Linked DNA regions of Caenorhabditis elegans. The protein of the gene in region 2 interacts with the protein of the main gene of each other region in a pairwise test. Each region holds a gene or a part of one and is shown on either strand. Other genes may lie near its edges.

Evidence for each region. Proteins that work in one complex are often made in the same cells at the same time.
Region 1: the proteins of set-12 (region 2) and zim-3 interact in a two-hybrid assay, tested with the Caenorhabditis elegans proteins (one large-scale study listed by BioGRID).

What each region holds. Positions count from the first base shown.
Region 1 is NC_003282.8:10,556,757-10,561,742, forward strand, and holds zim-3 (C2H2-type domain-containing protein), read left to right. Parts: upstream 1-1,958; 5' UTR 1,959-1,964; coding exon 1,965-2,063; intron 2,064-2,126; coding exon 2,127-2,848; intron 2,849-3,005; coding exon 3,006-3,267; intron 3,268-3,353; coding exon 3,354-3,605; intron 3,606-3,685; coding exon 3,686-3,879; intron 3,880-3,927; coding exon 3,928-3,989; intron 3,990-4,034; coding exon 4,035-4,170; intron 4,171-4,210; coding exon 4,211-4,229; 3' UTR 4,230-4,454; downstream 4,455-4,986. Other genes in the region: zim-2 (C2H2-type domain-containing protein), read left to right, coding at 143-422, 495-755, 847-1,040, 1,092-1,144, 1,192-1,268.
Region 2 is NC_003284.9:7,732,812-7,737,944, reverse strand, and holds set-12 (SET domain-containing protein), read left to right. Parts: upstream 1-1,673; 5' UTR 1,674-1,796; coding exon 1,797-1,871; intron 1,872-2,396; coding exon 2,397-2,488; intron 2,489-2,988; coding exon 2,989-3,480; intron 3,481-3,732; coding exon 3,733-4,138; intron 4,139-4,186; coding exon 4,187-4,270; intron 4,271-4,316; coding exon 4,317-4,337; 3' UTR 4,338-4,378; intron 4,379-4,517; 3' UTR 4,518-4,611; downstream 4,612-5,133. Other genes in the region: vit-1 (Vitellogenin-1), read right to left, coding at 5,002-5,133.

The sequences.
Region 1 (4,986 bases), on a different chromosome or scaffold from region 2:
CTCATGTCGATTAAAAAAAAAGTTCCATTATTTAAAAAAAACTTTTTTTGGTATCGAAAGGACTAAAGTTATAAATATACTCAAAACTCCTAACGATTCCAATCACCGATAGTTATTTACTTAAGAATTTCGTTATTTTCAGGCCGATTCAAATTTTAAGTCAAACTGTGCGTCCTAATATTGAACATACATTTCCTGTTTCTACATCAGCTATTCAATCAGATGGTTTTTCGTACGAACATCCAATTAATGAATATGGAGATAATGAATCATTTTCATCAGCAAAAAGTCATTGTGATGAGCCCAGTTTTTGTAATGCTGTCGACTTGAAGCCAGTTCTGAAAGTTTTGAATTCTGGAAGAACAGTTTTGACTGGAAGCATTATCAGTGATCAACCTCCAGTCATAGAACTGTCAAGAGATGTAATGTTTAAAAATCGAATTTGAAATAATCACAACTTGTTGAGTTATCCGTTTTCATTAATGAAATTGCAGCATAACATCGAAGGAGTGTTTCAAAATAATTTCGTTGACGTCGAGGATACTATGTTGATTGAAAACTATGAAGAGGTGGGAGCCGAAATCGTTGAAGTAGATGATCAAGATCAGTATGAGGTTATCAGTGAAGATGATGAAAAGGAAAAGAGCCCGATTCCTTCGAAAAATCGAGTTTCATTTGCATTTCCACTTGTTCAAAGTCCCAACAAACAAAAAGAAGAAATGAATAAAGTTCATAACATTAAATGCCATTTTGATGTGAGTTGTTTTGCCGCGTTGTCAGAGAAAAAACTGAATTTCAATAAAAAGTCGCATAGATATAATGTGTTTCAATCAATAATCTTTTCAGAACTGTAATCGAAAAATTCACTGGAAGATTCGTTATGGAAAACTTAGACTGGTCGATCATGCACTATCACATCAAGAGGAAAAATCCATTGACTGCCAGAAATGTGAATATTCATGCCAGACAACTCGACAAATGCGTTATCACTACAAAAAGATTCATGCAAATCTGAAAATGGAAGGCTTCGGAATTCTCAAGTGAGATTTTTTAAAACTAACCGTTTGAAAACTGATAAACCCCTCTTGTAGCATTCCTCTTCAAAATACCAAATTCTCAGATGTATGGAATAAATGTTTTGGAGGTACATTATTCTAATTATTTAGAGATTACATGCTATTCAAATTCCAGATCAACTGAAAACGATCGGACCCGTTAGAAAAGCTGAACGAACTCCTCGTCGAAAACTCAAAAGTATTCGCTTATAGAAAACCAAAATCTCTTCTAGAGTACAAGCGGAAGATGTGAAGATGTTTTTGTAAGCTCCATAACTGCTCATATCACTAATTTCAAATCCAGTTTTAACAGAATTTAATGAGCATCACGACGACACCCTCATGTACAATTATTATCATGTTCTAATTATTTTGTAGTTTTACAGAAATAAAATACAGTGTTTTTTCAGTTAATTGTGTTTTTTTTTTTTGGATTAATCGTTCTTTTGACGAATCAAACATGATATTTTCACAATTATTTAGAGTCAAAAATGTAGTTTTTATAAATGTAAATGTTAAAAATTATTTCAAAAAAAGAAATGCTGTATGCAACAAAATTTAAAAACTAATTGTAAGTAAATACAGTATTATATTTCTTCCTACCGTATACTTTCAAGGCACATTATACTTTTGTCAAAGGTCTCACAACGATCAGGTCTTTCTTCATTTCTAGATTTGTCGGAAGTATTTTGTTTCGTTTCCGCGTTTTAGTTCCTGTTCTTTTTGTATTTTAACCAGTAGATGAATAAAGACTGTTTTAAGCCTGATATTTATCATCATGATAACAAACTTTCAATTTCTTCACTATTCATTGCGATGAATTTATGTAAATAACGGTTGTCGATACGCCTGAGAACATGTTTTTGGACATTTTTTTAATTCTTGATGTTTTCATGGTATATTTTTCAGATGACCTGCGATGACTGGAACAGTTTTATTCAAGTGAACATTTATGGGAAAACTATAGAAGGTCTTCAGCAACAGGGAGTTGTGTTGGAATCTCTTTTGGTTGGTTTGATAAGGAAATTTTATCTTTTGCTATTTGAATTTGAATAGTAGTTATTATTTCAGAACAATATCGGTTGCTCCAAGCTTTGGATTGTGGAGGGCTCAATGTACACGAGCTTAACTAATGAAAGCTCTACATATTCTGAAAGTACAATCGAACCAGTTGTTCCACTAAGTACAACTTTGGCCACTAACAAGCTTCCTCGATTTTCAACTCCTGCTGTCGGCCATTCAAAATATAATTCTGCAAAAAATTTCACATTGAATTTGGCTGAGAAGCTATCGGAGATTCTATCGGATGACGATAAAACTGATAAATGCCTGGAGAACTCTTATCAATCCGAAACTTCCAGGGAAGACGTGATTCAGGATTTGCTCGAAGAAATGGTACAAACTGTTGCCGATGTTGATCAAGCTCCGATTCTTTTGAGCACAACTCTCGCAAACATTGGTGTTCCCCGCTTTTCAACTCCCATCAAACCACAAAATGGTTTGGATCGAAAGTTTACAATGAACATGACAGAAAGAATTTCCGAAATTGATTCGAATTATCAAGGTTATGAATTATTCGAAGATTCCTCCAATGACTGTACCACTTTGATCCCCAACTGTCAGGAGGTCGAATCGTCATTTTATCGAGCACTTCCTGAAGCAGCTAGTTCCATTGTTCCATATCAGGAAGGAAAGAGAAGAAGCTCGAGACGTTTGAGTACTCTGAGTAGTCTCAAAGAAACTGTCAAAATAGAGCCTACAGTTTCAAAGTTAACGAAAAGAAGACGGCTCACGTAAGAATTTTTCTGACGAGAATTCTGACCGTTCGTATAGCGAATTAAGCAACGTTGATATACTTACTCTATTTTCAATTGAAGACAGACCAAACTTCCAATAATGCCAAAAACCAGTAAAATTAAATATATACTTGAGAATTTCATTGTTTTTTAGATCGATTGAAAGCTCAAATGAAACCATGGTGCCACACTCCGAACCAATTCCACTGGATAAAGATGGATTCTCATATGAACAACCAATTAATGAATATGGAGATAATGAATCGTTTTTGTCAGCAAAAAGTCTTTGCACTGAGCCCAGGAGTTCTATTTCTGAGGACGTGAAGCCGGTTTTGAAAGCTACGGATTCAGAAAGAACAGTTTCGATTGGGAATCATATCGTTGATCATCATCCAGTCATAGAACTGTCAACTGAGGTAGGATTGAAGAGATTTCCTTTATTTCTAATTTGTAAATTGTCGCAACATGATGAGATTTTCGTTTTTAATTGAATATTTTGCAGCATAATACCATGGGAGAGTTTCAATATGATTTCGATGATGAGGATACTGTGCTGATCGGAAATTATGAAGAAGTTGGAACAGAAATTGATGAGGCAGAACAGCAGAATGAGGAAAACAGTGAAGATGATGAAGAGGATGAGAGCCCGATTCCTTCGACGAAAAAAGTTTCGTTTGCTGTTCCAGTTGTCCAACGTCTTAACAAGCGAAACGAGCAAATGAATAAAAATCATATTATTAAATGTAATTTCGAAGTAAGTTCCGATCTGAGCCATTTCTTAGGGAGGATGTTCAGGAAATATGACAACATTTAAAAAAAAGAAGCTATTTTCAGGGTTGTAAGCAAATTCTCTCGTGGAAACTTCGATACGGCAAACAACGACTTCTGGATCATGCAATGACTCATGAAAATGAAAAGTGTCTCGTTTGTCGCACATGTGAATACTCTTGCAGTACACATCCCCAAATGAAGTATCACTATCAAAAAATGCATCCAGAAGTGAGGTGTGATGGGTTTAATATTCAGAAGTAAGCCGTCAATTGTTCAATAAATTATATAAAACACGATTATTTCAGAGTGTTCAATATCGAATTTGATGAAGTGGCGATTTTCGATCTTTTCCAAAAGTGCTTCGGAGGTATTAGACAGATATGAAATATTGATATTCAATGTGTAATTACAGCACATTCTTCCATCATCGGAAATATTGGGAAACCGCGGAGATATAAAAAATGTAAAAACTCGCTGAAAAATACTCCAGAAGTCGACAATGAGAATGTAGATAAAGACTCTCCAGGACCATCACACGATCTTTTCTAGTAGGTTTTTCCATATACTTTATTTTATTCTGAAGTTTAGTTTTCGCAGAATTCGCTGATCGTCTTTCGCTACGACTCTGCACAATGTGTTATTTGTCAACTCATGTAACATTTGCAATGTTTTTTAGTAATAGTTTCATTGTTTTGTTTTGTTTTTTGTTTGTTATTGTCGAGATAAACTTATAAAATATGTTTTTCATTAAAAAATAACTTGTTTTGTAAATTTTTTGTCCGCGAGTTTTTCATCTATAATACCTTTTTTGACTATTAAATTCAGTTCTGTATATATGTGATATCACTAAATTTTAATATACCTTCTTAAAGGCACACGGAGTTATTCAGATGGGCATCGAGGCGCAAAAAGTTTATGGTACTTTTCTTTAACTTTTTCGGCTGCTTCATTCCTTTTTTAAAAACATTACTTCGTTTTTTGCTAATTTTCTTATTAACTTTGCATTTTTCTGTTAAATTTTTTTAATATCCTTCTTCGTGTAAAACATGCATTTTTGATCATAAATGTTAATTGTACTATGGAAAAAACTGATCTAAAACAATTTTAAACAGGAAAATGAGTAGAAAACGACAAACTTCGCTAAAAACTAAGTGATTTTTTCTTGAAAATACAAGAAAAGCGTAGCAGCAAAAAATTGAAAAAAAACCTAGGTTTAAACCTATTTACCATACACTTTTTGTGCGGCGAGACCCATCGGAAAAAATACGAGAAGGCTCGTCAATATCTTGTTAAAATATGAAAATTTTCTAATTTCAAAGATGCATGCCAGATTATTATGAAATAACAGATGACATGCATGTAAA
Region 2 (5,133 bases):
CAAGTCTTTCCAATATTCAAAAATTTATGATGGTCACACTGGAACAAAATGCGGTGGATATAAAGAAATAGGAAATTGGTATGTATTAAATAAATAAAAAAAGCATGGAAGTGACAACAATCCAAATGTTTATTAGATAACTCGGCTTGGTATTCTCAATACTATTTTTCAGATTTTCTACCGAACATGTATAATTCAATAAAATTGATGTTGGATTTCCGAAATTTTAGAAATGTATTTTAATTTGCTTAAGTTTTATAATGAACAATTAGGTGTTCAGTTCACAACTTTGGGTTGTTGCGAAATAATTATAAATGCAGACGCAGGCAAAGGTTTTTTTGGCAATGCTTAAGATAAGACGTTTCTAAAGTGCATCTTACTCTGTTTCTCCAGTATAATTATAAGTTTTCTTTTTGATGTTTTTAACATTGGTTTCACGATTTTTGTCGTTGTCATTTTGAAGGTCGTTGCGTTTAGCATAAAACAAAAGAAACATCCATGGTTTTTCTCTCATTCCACTGTTAAAAACATATATGTTTGCGTCAATTTCTGTTTGTTCTGACTTATTCCAAATTGTTCCACAAAATTCAAACTTTTTTGATAAAAATCTCTAAAAATGTGGAAGTGTTCATTTTCTAACCGCGTTGAACATACAAAAAATATATAAGTTATACATTTTTTAAATGAAGAAGGCCCTGTGGAGGTTTTATAAACCTACATTGAAAATGGGTTTCAAGCTGTTTAAATATTTTCTAATCGATCAAAATGTTGGCAAATCACCTAAGTGATGAAAAATGGGTTTAAAAAACTCAAATCGCCTATTGGAACCATGTTTAGGCGGAAAACATAAAAATTGCTAAATTAAAACTAACAATTCGACTTTCTATCATTCACAAACATTCATTTCATCACCTTTTGCTTTCCCGCCGACACCCTTAGAAAGACAACTTTCCTCTTATCCCCAAATGGTTCTCTTTTCTTTATTTTATGACTACCCGCTAGATGATGCACCGTATTATTCGTCAATCCTTGGCACTTAGGAAAAGTTCACGCATCTGTGCGTTATTCTATTGCATTGTCTTCCTGATTTCCCATAAGAAAACTGTAAAACAACGCCAATCTTTGAGTCAACCATTCAAGACTCCCATATGGTATGAATGGTGTGGTCCGTCGATTAGAGTACAGTATTGATTTTTTTCTAGTTAGAAGAATGTCTGGTGTTTGAACGAATAAGTAGTATGTTGTTTTTATTTCGCTGGTTTTAGTTTGTTTTTCATAACATTGTGATGTTAATTTCCAATTATTTTCATTTTAATTTTTGAAGAAAATATCATGATGGTTCAAAATTTTAGAACTTTTCCTGAATATTGCATTCGAGAAACATTTAGAAATGTTCTGCTAATAATGTCTAAGCTTTCATTATTTCTCACTTTAATACCACTTTCACTTTTACATGGTTGTCGTTTTTTTTGTGCTTATTTCAGTTATTTTTCACCTTATTGAGCATTAATTGCTCCAATTGCCGATGCCTTATGGTCCACCGAAAAGAGTACTCCTCTCTCTTTCTATTAGATAGCACTCGATGTCATACCGTCATTTGCGTTTACCTGTTTTACCACATTTCTGTTCGCTCATCTCAAACCTATTTTGTAGGCCTAACCTTTTTATTTCAGAATTCATTGATTGTTAACAACTTTGCTCTCATTTCTTCATCGCATCAATTCTTCGCAAAACCTTTGAGAGTTTGCATTTTAGTTTTTAAAACTGTACAAGACTTCCGTTCCAACACTAGGATAATGCCAGGAACCAGAGCTAGCACAAACAAAAAGACGCAGTTGACCAAGAAAAATAATTCAGTGTTTGTCTACAATGTGAGTTGTTAAGCAAGATTTATTTTGAAAAACTAGCCTTCCATATCCAGACCGTTTTAGTTTACTTCTCACTCAATAATATGCTTATTGTCTAATTTTCTAATTTGTTTCCGACTTTTAATGTTATTATGGCTGAGATTCTTATTGTAAAATATAGATACTTCATGAGATCTGAGCAAAAAACTGATTTGGTTACAAACAAAATATTGATTGAAACGGAAACAGTTTTCTACAAGAAAATACCTTACTTTTTGACAAAATTGACGGAAAATATATGTCAAACAGGTCTAACATACGTGCAAACTTATCAAGCACCTAAATTTTTCATAAAAACATAGCTTTTATATAAAAACAGAACATATCAACTCAAATTATAGTTTTGAAACAAAAAATTCCAACACGTTAAGAGAACCTTGAATTTAAAACTTAAAAATATTAAATAAGACTAGTATGGAAACTATATTATATCAACAATATACACCTTGAATTGACAAATACGAATAATCTGTTGTATAAAAATTTCAGACCGATCCAAAATTTTTCCCGAATACCAGAAGGATGGACTACAGTTTCATTTGCAGTCCGAAAAGAAAAACTGGATTGCTCACAGTGACAAGGTTAGTTTTGTTAAATTTTTTTTGTAAATAAGAAATACAATTGAAGCAATAGAGTTTAGACAGAATCTTGAGTTTAGCACATTTTCCCACAGGTAACCAAAAATCATCGACATTGGTTACATATCAGTTTAAGTCAAAGTAATGTGAGACGAGGAACCAAAAATTACAATAAAAGATGATAATCAAATAAAAGTTAATTTCCAACAGCCGTGACATGGAATGGTTGGCAAAATTTAAGACTTTCGCTAGAATAAACTGAATTTTTTTCGAAATTGTGAACCGTAATAAACTTTTTTTTGTAAAATTTGTGAGAAATTGAGAAATTTCAGTACAATATTCGTGAGCCCATGAGACAAATTTTCGAGTTCAAAATACACAGAGCCGTTAGTCTTTCTTTGAAGTATGCAAAGTTTTGAGAAAATTTTATTTATATCGAAGATTGATTAACTCTTGTCTCGTTGTCTGAATATTCTTATATTCTTTAAGTAAACATTTTTCAGCTGCAAATGCGGCACGGACTGCACCACGGAGGAATGTAGCAATTTCGCAAATCATCGCGAATGTCCCCGAGGATGTTCAAATTGCGAAAATCAAAGATTTCGCAAAAGACAGTTTTGCGGTGTTGAAACTTTCCTCACTGACAATGGCATAGGACATGGGCTCAGAGCAACGGAAGAAATTGCTACTGGCAAGTTAATCCTTGAGTATCGGGGAGAGGCGATAACCAAGGCCGAGCACAATAAACGCGTTAAGCGCTATAAAAAAGATGGAATCAAGCACAGTTATTCGTTTGAAGTGGGAAGAAATTACTATGTGGACCCGACACGCAAAGGGAATTCGGCACGGTTCATCAATCATTCCTGCAATCCAAACGCTTTGGTAAAAGTGTGGACCGTGCCGGATAGACCTATGAAGTCTCTGGGAATTTTTGCATCGAAAGTCATAAAACCAGGAGAAGAGATCACTTTTGACTATGGAACCTCCTTCAGAAAGTAAGTTGACTTTGTAATACTTTGAAAACAATACCCATCTTTTTGGAGTGAGTTTTTAGTATACTTTTTCATTGCGACAAAATACATACTGGCAATGAACTGTAATAAAACAATTTATCAAAATCTTTTGTATTTTTCTTTTTTCTTCCATTTTCCGAACCCCGATAAAAAATCCCAAAATTTTAAATAAATCACAATTTGATTTTGTTATGCTAGACCTTTTTATACTTTACAGAACTTTTAAAATTTTAGTGACCAACCATGTCAATGTGGGGAAGCAGCATGTAGAGGTTGGATTGGAAAACCATCAACATCTGAAGTTCCAAAGGATGTGTCCAAAGAGCTTAAAAAGAGAGGAAGAAAACCGAAAATGGATCCCACAGCACCCATATCAACAACGAGCACAGGAGGTGGAGACAAGGGGAAATTAAGTGGCACAATTCCGGTGCCAAAATCCAGGAGAGGAAGAAAAAGAAAGACCGATGTCACAGCTCCTGTTCCACTAGCCACAAAAACCAAGAGACATAGTCCCCCAGCCGAAAATGAGTCAGAAGACAAAGAAAATGTTAAACCACCAAGCGAAGAAGACATTACCAACGCCATGAATAATCTTTTAAATAAGACATACGATAATCAAAATGGTGTGCTTGATGAATGCGTAAGTAGAAAGATATCAATTTGAAAGCCACTTTTAAATTGTTTTCAGAGAAGCATCATGGGCAATCTGGAGTGTAAAAGTTACGAACACATGGTTCACAAACGAGTGCTTTTTCTACTAGAGAAAAATATGGTATCTTAAATATTTCAATTCGATTTTAAACAGATCAATTTTTCAGGGTCTAAACTCGAGACTGTAGCCACTCGTGGACTTTCAAACGGTTTACATGCTTCACTACAGGTCAGTGGTTACAAAATGAAATGTGGCAGTTGTAAAGAAAAGTAGGAATACAAAAAAACTCGAAATTCTGGAATATTTGAAAACCAATTTTCATTCTAAAAAAACCAATCGACTAAGCATACTTATTGTGTTTTTTCAGAACTGCCAAACTTGCCTTCACAATCCTCATCTTTGCCATTTTATCTTCAGCATGATCAGCATGATTTCTTGTTTTAATTTCATTTTCATAATAATAAAAACCTCCGAAAAAAAATGACAGAGCACTTTACTTGTTTTATTTTCTTTGCAACGTTTTAAATTCTATCAGTTTAGTATATCTTTCTCAAATTCCGAAGATTCGTATCATCAACTTTCACGATTATCGGAAATAAGATTTCAGACACTAACAACTTCTTTTTAAAATGTTAAACTCGATTTATTTTCTGTTACGCCAAAACGTTGAAAAAACCATAAGTAATTTTTGATGTTTCTACCAAATTTCTGCAACTTGATGATGGATATGAAACAGTTTCCAAAAGCTTAAAAATAAACTAATGAAAATTTATTTCTAAACTTGTACTAGAAAGACAATTATTAGCAGAAGTTATAAAATTATGAAAAAAAAGGCCGGCCGAGCTTATGAATTAATAAGCGACGCAAGCAACTGGGACTTGAACTGAGTGGACAAAGGAAATCTTGTGATCATCAAGTTGAACTGTTCCTTGACGAGCCTCCTTCACCAGACGTCTGGCTTCAGAACTGTGACGTGGCAAGCA